Drosophila melanogaster: one gene and its partners. The protein of the gene in region 1 interacts with the protein of each later gene in a pairwise test. Each region holds a gene or a part of one and is shown in the gene's direction. Other genes may lie near its edges. The genes, in order: Mzt1, Grip91 and Grip128.

Region 1 (2,862 bases):
TGAGATATGCGCCTGGGTGTGGAGAGATGAATAGTTATGAGGTTTTAGGTTTGGCTAGCCAATCTTGGTTTTCCAAAGGGTGCCTGACACTATATATTTAGTTTTATTTACTATCATAAAAGTACGAATGATCCACTTCTATCCCATGACCAACTCACGTATGTTCGCCCCATGCTATTCATCCCTTAGTCTTTTCACCCATTAAAACCATTTAGCATTCATTAAGCCCAATTTCTGCCCCATCCATGGTGCTCGGAATAATCAACAAATTAACTAAATTCCTAGTGGGCGCCTCCATCCCCAGAATAATCCAAATTCCGAAGTTGTGACATCAAGAAATGTCGAAGCGATTTCAAGTGCAGCCCCGGGGAATCTTGGGAACATATTCGAACATTCCCAATCGTCCGCAACCTGTTTGATCCGTTGGTTATCAAAGATATTTCCAAACATGTTCGAAGCGAACCTCATGATGAGGTTGCATGGAATCCATAAGATACAATCCACAAGCTGCTTTGCAGCTACAGCCCAGCGGAATTTCAATTCAGTTCGCGCTCAACTCACAGACACGATGGTCATTCAAACGCGTTAACGAATAATAATTTAAAATAATATTCAAATGATAAATACACTAAAATATGCACTAAACCACGCACTAAACCTAAATCCACGAACTGTACATATTTGTGTAAATAAATAAAGTATAAACAAACAGCGAAGAGAAACCTCGAAATACCAATAGACCGCTCAAGTTCCCATACATTGAGCTGGCCAATCGTGTTTGAAATTATTTGTTTGATCGATTTTGTGCGGTGTGAACACCTTGTAAAGGCATTTGCAAACCTATTGCCATAGCAAGCAAAGTGTGTTAAGCTGGGAAACACCCTCTGAAAAGTTTATGTACTACCCCCTTCGATCGGTCGAATAATAACTACCACAAGACAAGCATTAAGTTTGTGTTTACGTGCTGCTGACTAATTGCGTTTATATAGCCCGACTATATAAAACTGTACAATAAGACACGGCCAACTGTTTTAGTTTGAACGCCTCAGTTAAAGCTGCAAATTGCTTCGCTACCAAGTGAAGTTCTACATTTTCGCAGCGAAAACGTTTTTCAATTGATTTTCATTAAGTGAAAAAATCCCGAGATTGTCTTCTTTTCGGTTTCCAATTGATCGCAATTGCACCAGACCCATAAAACATATATACAAAGTGAGGCTGCATTCCAAGTAGAGCAAGACAGTAACCACTTCATCATCACAACATCAGATGCTGCATAATTAGCATTCGTTGCGTGGAGCGTCGAAAAAAAAAGCGGAAAATGTATCTCATACAGGTGAGGCCAAGCGATACAATGGATCCCCCTCTCACGATTAAGTGTTTGCTCTTACTTATCACATGCTGGCGGCACTGCACTTGCCGACTGAAAAAGATCTTCATTTAAGCGTTTTTTAATTGTCCGCCAGCTGAGATTTTCAGCATTTACAATTCTCCCCTCCGTTTGAAATGACTGTGAGAGGCACGCATCTCTGGCGTATATAATTTGTTTAATTTGTAGCTAATTTATCTTTCCACTTGGCAGCGGGCAGATCGGATGTCGAGCAAATGGGGGGGGGTTCACTGGAGCAGGTGCCTCATTACTGAACTTTGAACTTGAAACGGTGTTACGATTTACAGCTGGTAATGGATTACGGTTAGGCATCGGGGTTCGGGTTAGCAGAACAAATGTGCAGGCCTGAGATTATGAAGGGAACTCAAATATTTTGACATAACCATTAATCATTTGTAAATGATATACATTCAATCGATTGCTTTTGAGTTATCTGTCAGCATTGCCCTAAATTATTTAGAGATTTATTCCGAGTTTATATCAAAATTTGTGGAATAAGTATGTCAGAACAACCGACACAACATAAATCCGACGATCGCTTCACTATCCTGCAAACCTTATCGGATGTAGTGGACTCTGGTCTCAGCAAGGAAGCCCTTAAAATCTGCATCGAACTGGTGGACAATGGTGTCTGTGGTGGAGCACTAGCACATGTAATTCGAACCATTAGAGAGGAGATTCAAGATGATGAAGATAAGGAAAGTGATGATTCCGGAGAATCGGCTGCATCAACAGACTCAACTTTGTAGGAAATGAATATAAAATATATTTTTGTGTTTATATTTTGTGTTTGTTAAATTAAAAGTTCAACTTTCCGATGGTCTGTTTCCGAAATTTGTAAGACGCTGGTTCTTGGACATCCAATTGCATGATTTTTGAAGGCTTTCAAGAAGACTTCGCCACTCTATTTGCATTCATCAAACGCAAGCGACTGGCGTTTCTGAAAACGGTATATGTGCCGGCCATGATAATGAAAAGTTGCACCACTTTGGCTTGATAGTAGGTCTAAGATGATAATGTGTTTAGATAAAAGCTTATAGCAAACCGAAGCAACAAACGACTCACCTGTCTTATATAGATGGGCAATGGAATGTGCGATCGATGAACATGGTAATCCATTCCTCTGAACAGCCAATAGCCCGGCCACGCCCCCAAACTGGCGAAAAGAAATGGTGCTGCAGTACTGTAGGCCTTTTCAAAGGATTGCGAATGCACCAGTAAACGTATCTCCTCGCCAAGATTATGCATCCGAGGTGGGTGGGCTATTGCCTTGGCTGGTTCCTCCTCCTTTCGCTTAAGCCTCGTCGAGAACTTCTCCTTCAGATTGCCGTAATAATTTTGGATGCCCATCTTGGAAAGGTTTAATTTTCGACCGAAAGTTGTGTATTGTGTGTGTGTGTAAAGTTTGGACAGAAACATATATCAAGGCTTACCTGAACTAAGAGGAGTCTCCGATGTCAGCTGTTTCTTCCTGA
Region 2 (3,761 bases), on another chromosome or scaffold:
ATGACAACTAGAGGAGCAACAAGAGAGAAGCAAACATTAAACAAAAACAAAAAAAAAAACACCAAATTACAAAAAAAAAAAACGAAAATTCATACGAACGCAAAGAATAAATACACCATTTATAAGAAACAAAAGACGATATGAAGAATTTGTCGCAAACTTGATAAAAAGAACTTATCCTCAGAATCCAGATAAGGACACAAACGAAAAACAAAAACAAGCAAAAAAAAAAAACCACAAAAAAACAAACAATCAATCGGAATTTGATCTCCGTTTAAACTATATTCATTATTATACTACATAAACACCTACAACGTATATCTTACCTACATGTAACTACCAGCGTAATTCGAAAGTATATTTTAAATATTTGTTAAAAAAGGAGATATGAGTGAAACGATCACAAAAAAAAGAAAAAGAAAGAAGAATCCAGCCAAAAGTATGCGGGGAACCACGAGCAGGAGCAACAGGAACAGAGATGGGTCGCTTTTTGTGGCTAGGATCTCACATAAAGGATGCGAGTGGGCGTACTTAGCACGACCGTCATTATGCCACATGAAATCAAAGCATATTATTTACATGAAACTGTTATAGGCACTCGTACACACACACTCACACACACCTCTTGGGTTGATTGAATTGATTGAATAACTTGTATTTGGAACGAACCAATGATGATGATTTATGCTATCAACGCAATCAAAACTCTGATGATTACACAAAACAAATTCCATTGACTTGAAATTGAGAAAAACATTTATAATATTCCTATGCGCATCGAAAACATGATTTTCCTTAATTTTTTTGTAACTTTGTGTGTCAGAAGACTAACATAATTAAGCTTAATTTTACTTTATACGTATATTTACCCACGGATTCATCTTATTCTGCTTGCTTTTTTTTTTTTTTGATTGAATAAAAGCTGCATTTTATATGATAAGAAAAAGACTTTGTTTTCGCCGCACTTATATTTTAAAATGTTCACACTTCATGAAGAAACAAAATTCGACATATTCTTAAAAATGCGCGCCCACACATCTATATATATTTAATATATATATCTACATATATATATATATAAACTAATGTGTTAAAAGCAGAAAATATACATCAAAAATAAAAATTAAAAACATATTTTAATGCGTTTTCAATGGGCAAATTCGTTTATTTAGTTGGAAATAATTTAGGATCGGGCCAACATTTATTTTGCTTTTTTTTCGTTACAGAAATCTCCGGATATTAAATGCAATTACGTATAGAAGTGAGTAAGGTAAACCGGATGAGAGTTTAACTATGTTCTAAATTAAATACCGGAGGTTTCTGTTTCAATACACATTATATACATTATATATTATTTCACATATTATTTCGCGTTCAAATCTGGTGGCGAAGAATCCTTCTTGGTCACCGGTTCACTCGGTGGTTCCAGCTTGATTTCTGGGGCTCAGGATTAGCCCACATATTGCTAGGTAGTTGGGTTGGCTGCTCCAGGTACTGCTCCACCGCATCCAGCTGCTGATGGCCCATTGCGACGAAGGAAAGTCCTTGTCCATTGGAATTCCAAGACATCCTTGCAGCACCTTAAGCTTTAACTCCCCCAGCAGTAGGTATCAAACACGACTTGTAGCCAATTACAGCCGTTGGTGTGCTCCATGGCGAAACGCAGTTGGTCAGTCTCATCTATGTCTTCAGCCTTTATATTAAATATTAACAATTTTAAAGTTTACCATTTTTGCTTACAAGCAATTGCAAATGCAAAACGGACAGTGTGACCAGGCGAGTGAGAGTTGGAAACGTTTGCGGCCCCAGAGCTGTCAGATGTTTGCAATGGAATTAACATAAAAGCTGAAAGCTGCACTTCTAAACATAACTGTTATACAAAAATGCTACATTCAGTAACATTCCGACAGAAATACATTTTTATAGTAAAATGTAGAACGATAATCAAAATGGCATAGCCTATTGCAGACGAGCGCTGCCAGATCGCTGCACCTTCGGCCAGTGTGTGCCCGCCAGCGGCTAGGACTTTGCCTTGTCAAGTTTCCCAGATTCGGTAACACTGCACTAAATAATTTTAATAAATTATTTGTATGAAGTACGCGCCAATTGGATGCGTTTTTGTCCTATCTGTCGAAGATTTCACGCATCCCGAACAATTGCCAGTGACTGCACGCCGTATTATAGCCAGGGAACAGCTGTGCGTTTGCCATTGGCCAACAGTTGTTGTCCACTTCGCAATTACCAAGCCATCCAAAATCGGCTGTTTAACGCGCGCTTGATTGGATATTTATGAACAATTCAGTGCACCAGGATGTCGCAGGACAGGATCGCCGGCATCGATGTGGCAACCAATTCCACTGATATATCGAATATCATTAACGAGATGATCATCTGCATCAAGGGCAAGCAGATGCCCGAAGTTCACGGTGAGATTTGGGAATGTGCAATCACTCACTGGCTGTCCAGGCACGCAAGGCATACGGACTGCTCTGGCATTCCGGGAAGAAGGCCTCCACCCTTGGGAATCGACCACGTGCTTCAGGATTATAGTTAATCCCAGAAACTCAACATATTTCATGGCATTTTCAAACAGAGAGTCCTTGAGATATGCAACTAACAATACATATACTTATATTTTTATAGTTCTAGATTAAATGTAGCAATAACCATTGCCAAAGTGTGTTGCATAGTCGTAAATGTTCAAAATTAATGTATATATCCCACAAACAATTCAAAGTATTCAAAGATATTTATCCGAAAGTAGATAGTTTTGAATTGTTTTTAAATGACTATTGATCACATATACTTAACTATAAAAGTATGAGCAAGTTTCTTAGATCCTCAAGGTCCTCAATACGTACAATTTCCAAATCAATGAATCTAAGGATACGTAATGCAACACATACACTAGACACTATACATAATTGTAGGCTTCATTGCCCTTGTTTTAATGCACTTTGTTCAATCTTTTGCAGAAAAAGCAATGGATCATTTAAGCAAAATGATTGCCGCCAATAGTCGGGTCATTCGGGACTCAAATATGTTGACTGAGCGCGAATGTGTCCAGAAGATAATGAAACTGCTGAGCGCCCGGAATAAGAAGGAGGAGGGCAAAACTGTGTCGGATCACTTCAATGAGCTGTACAGGAAACTCACGTTGACCAAGTGCGATCCGCACATGAGGCACTCGCTAATGACCCATCTACTTACGATGACCGACAATTCGGATGCCGAAAAGGCAGTTGCCAGCGAAGATCCACGTACTCAGTGCGATAATCTCACTCAGATTCTGGTCAGTCGTCTTAACTCAATAAGTTCCTCCATAGCCAGTCTGAATGAGATGGGAGTGGTCAACGGAAATGGAGTAGGAGCAGCAGCGGTAACAGGAGCAGCAGCGGTAACAGGAGCAGCAGCGGTAACAGGAGCAGCAGCGGTAACAGGAGCAGCAGCAAGCCACAGTTATGATGCCACACAGTCCAGCATCGGATTGAGAAAACAGTCCTTGCCCAACTACCTGGATGCAACAAAGATGTTGCCCGAGTCTCGACATGATATAGTGATGAGTGCCATTTACTCCTTCACCGGCGTTCAAGGGAAGTATTTGAAGAAGGATGTGGTAACGGGCCGTTTCAAGCTGGATCAGCAGAACATCAAGTTCCTGACCACCGGCCAAGCGGGCATGTTGCTGCGGCTCTCCGAACTTGGCTACTACCACGATCGAGTGGTCAAGTTTTCGGATGTATCGACCGGTTTCAATGCCA
Region 3 (3,761 bases), on another chromosome or scaffold:
GACAAATCAGGTTCGAAAGCCACCACTGAAATGAGCGGACAGGGCTACAGTCTTGGTGGCTCTAGCGCTATAGAACACATAGATCTTAGTGACACTGATGTTCCCGATTCCGCTAAACTTCGTCAAATTCGACTTCAGCGTTTTAGCGAAGATGCTTCCAACAAGCGACAGAATAAGAAAAAGAGGCGTCGTGTTTCCAGCGACAGCGAGATAATCAACTGGGAGTCCTACGATGATGACGTAATGGTCAGGGATGTTCATACGCCCATCGTCAACTTGGTCGAAAGCTCTAGTGATGAAGAGGAGATGAAGATGCCAGCTGGCAGAAAAACCATGACCAGTCAGGAGCGCACGCAGATCATCAAGCGCCAGGTAATGGAGGATGAGTTGACCTTGTGTGAGGACGATATCCTCTTAATTGATGATGAATACGACGATGAGGTGGCCGCAAATGAATCTTTAACAGCCGCCACGGAGCTAGCTGACCAATCCATTATAGATGATATTTTTGGAGAGGACACCCTGCTGAAGGAGTTCCAGCGTGAGAACGACGTGCAGCCCAGTTGCTCAAGCTACGCCAAAAGAATTGAGAACGACATCGTATCTTGTCCCATTTGCTTTGAGAAAATGAGGCGCACTGAGTTGTCCAATCACTTCGATGGCTGCGCCATTATGGTGCGCTTGGAACCGCCATCGTTTAAGCCTAAAAACCGCCGAACAACTGCTTCCTTAACCTCAAAGGACTCGTCGGGAGCTTCCACATCACGCCGCGCTAAATCGAAAGCAAAGTCATCAAAAGGAATTCTTCGCAGCTCCGGTTACACAGAAGGGGAGATCGACAAGCTCAACCTGAGCTCCTCTACCGACTCGTCTACTCTGCCGTCTAGCGAGGACGAACTTACTCCGCGTCAGCGCCGCCAGCGCAACCTCTTCAAAGAGACCGTAGGCTGCCCCAGATGTGGCCTGGAGATCATGCCTCTACACCTGAAGGTCCATGGATCCGTCTGCGCTGGTCGCAAGAAGCGCTAGGACAAAAAACATCTCATACAAAACATAATTCGTTAAATAGAAACTAATGTTAACTTTAATGTTATTAAAAACATGTTACAGGATTCGCCCAAAATATCGCACATTCTTTTTATCCAAATAGCGCGTGGCCAACGCCGGCCAGTGGACCACAAAGAGGTCCGCCAGCGGAAGGAGCAGGCGTCCGCTCAGCGACAGCGTCTCCACGCGGCAGAAGCTCTCCACGAACACTATTCTGGAGTGCGAGGGCAGGCGTCCGAGGAGGCGCCACAGATAGGCGGCATAGCAGAAGGGCACACAGGTGCCGGGTCCATTGCAGAGGATCAGTTGGGGGCGATCACGCCAGACCAGATAGCAGCTCCAGAGAAGCGCCCACAGGCTGGTGAAGATGCTGCTTAGCCAGGATTGGCCCACGTCGCGGCTGCGCGGCACCTTCACGAATTCCGCCCTCTGGGCAGCCTGCGGCAGGACCTGCCTGAACTGGCGCTCGGAGGTAGAGTCACTGTTGGCCAGGATCAGTCTAATTGGCTGGTACTTCTCCGTCTGTTCGATGTCTGTCTGTTGCAGCAGCGCCTGGGTCAGCCGGCACATCTCCGCCGTGTGGCCGCCAGAGCCCAGTATTACGTAGGTGGGGTGAGGCGAGCTGGTCGTCATATTGCCCTTCGAAAACTCAATTTAAATGACAACATTTACAATTGTTTACGTTTCAAGTCGATTGTCGATCATCCACGAACAGCTGTTTCCATTGCTATCGATAACTGAACCGATAATTATGCCGGTGTACCATTTACGTTGTTGTCATTGCTGAGGGCGCCATTTATAGAATTTATTGGATCTCAATCAGAAAGCGGAGCGAAATGGCTCCTCCCGCCCAGAAGGGTAACCTACGGAAGCGCTCCGGCAAGACCTCGACGGCAGTCAACTCCGCCATAAACGAGAACGTGCGAAAACTGGTCAGGAGCCTGTCGGAACCGGGGGTATGTTTTAAAACAGATGTTATCCCTATTCCAATTTAACCAACTTAAAACGCAGACGAGCCAGAAAAAGTTGCGCCAGATGGAGGATACGGCATTGAAGATAATCGCCAACCAACGCAGGACATGGGCTCCTACAACGACGGACATGGAGGTGAAACGCAACCTGGACGATCTGGCAGAGCGTTTTCGGGCGGAGGGCATGGCGTCTTTTGGTGAGAGCATCAAGGACTTGGCCATCAGGTATTTGGCTATGGACGAAAATCAACAGCAATTCAATCCTAACCCCGGATGGCAAATGCTCGAATTGCTGTTTCGCATAGCCGATAGGCCGGTGCAAAAGATCCGGCTGAACCGCGAGTTCATGGAACAGCGCCGTCTGTCCATAATTAATAGCATGGAGGAAGCCGAGCGACAGGCACAGATAGAGGAACAGGCGAAACTGGAGGCAGCCAAGAATACCTCCGAAACGGAGGTGGACTGGGCAGCGCTGCTGTCCGAGGATTTTCTGGATCCGCCAGAGGATGACAGCTCGGACAGCTTAAGTGTGAGCATCTAGAGAACCCCAAACATATGTCATCTGCTACACATATGTAGCCTGTTCTTTCCATAAAATCATTTGCAGCATACTAATACCTTTACCTTCTTTCCAAAAGGACTGGTCGGAGGAGTCGGACTGCGACTCGACAACTACTCTGAAGCCCGATGAAAATATTGGCGTCTCGCGAAGCCTCTTGGAAATGGCCAGGGTGTACGAGCAGGCCATGATGGCAGTCGTTCCGACTGGAAGTGTTAACAAAACGTATATGCCGCCCGAGCAGAGCGTGATCCGGAGTTACGACTTTCGGATAATGAAACCAACTGTTCTAAGCCTCAACAACTTAAAGGGCAGCCATCTGAGACGAAGCAAGCTGCTCCAGTTGCCGCCACCCCAACCGCCCCGACCATTCACCCAATATTGGCAAAGTGGCAACACAGATACGCTCTTCCGTAAAATCCATTCCCACTGGTGGTGCCAAGATGTCCATTTAAACGCCCTGCCCTCCAGTGCTAAGCCACTGGACAACTTTGCCGTCAGCTACGTGCAGTTTCTGAATCACAATGCCCGAGGCTTGTTGGCCCTGCCAGTGCCGAAAACCATCACGGAGCCCTGTCTGCTAAGGGAGATCCTCTTCATGTTTGTGCGTCCAGCGAGCTGTTGTTTCTTTGAATTCGACAAGGCCACGCGACGCATTACTGTGCGTGACAATGTCAGTATTTGTACGGTGACTGCGGTAAGAAAGTCGAATCGTTAATGTGTAACTCTATCTTTAGTCCGGCTTTTTTTTTTGTAGAGCACAATGCAAAATTTTCTGTTATTTGATGTGGTGCCTGCGCTGGAGGACATGATGGAACTGCGTCACATCATCGATACTCATACGTTGCATTTTCATGGCGTAAAGACAACATACACCGTGGAGTTCTTTGCATACGGCCTGAGAGATCTTGTCCAGCCCATTTGCCAGCTCCTCATCGCTTACGAGGATCGTGTCAATAAGGATCCAGCGAAAAATACACTGATCCGTTTTACGATTGAGTTCAGGGAACATTTTAGCCAGCTGCGCTTACTGCGAGAGCTGGCCGAAGATGTCATCCTGGATAAGGGACCTGCGCACATACGCAGTGCCTACTTGCTATCCAGACTGTATAAGCACACCTTGCTGCAGGTGCCGCACCAGAAGCTGGCCACTGCCCTGCTGTTTATATCTCTCAAGCGATATT

Evidence for each region.
Region 2: the proteins of Mzt1 (region 1) and Grip91 interact in a two-hybrid assay, tested with the Drosophila melanogaster proteins (one study listed by BioGRID).
Region 3: the proteins of Mzt1 (region 1) and Grip128 interact in a two-hybrid assay, tested with the Drosophila melanogaster proteins (one study listed by BioGRID).

What each region holds. Positions count from the first base shown.
Region 1 is NT_037436.4:2,387,449-2,390,310, forward strand, and holds Mzt1 (mitotic spindle organizing protein 1), read left to right. Parts: upstream 1-1,816; 5' UTR 1,817-1,887; coding exon 1,888-2,136; 3' UTR 2,137-2,202; downstream 2,203-2,862. Other genes in the region: Svil (supervillin), read left to right, coding at 1,319-1,333; CG32299 (uncharacterized protein), read right to left, coding at 2,273-2,392, 2,453-2,737; CG32298 (uncharacterized protein), read right to left, coding at 2,826-2,862.
Region 2 is NC_004354.4:13,742,949-13,746,709, reverse strand, and holds the start of Grip91 (Gamma-tubulin ring protein 91), read left to right. Parts: upstream 1-2,026; 5' UTR 2,027-2,311; coding exon 2,312-2,426; intron 2,427-2,975; coding exon 2,976-3,761.
Region 3 is NC_004354.4:15,470,162-15,473,922, reverse strand, and holds the start of Grip128 (Grip128), read left to right. Parts: upstream 1-1,803; 5' UTR 1,804-1,883; coding exon 1,884-2,003; intron 2,004-2,058; coding exon 2,059-2,547; intron 2,548-2,656; coding exon 2,657-3,274; intron 3,275-3,334; coding exon 3,335-3,761. Other genes in the region: mh (maternal haploid), read left to right, coding at 1-1,029; Alg14 (ALG14, UDP-N-acetylglucosaminyltransferase subunit), read right to left, coding at 1,105-1,680.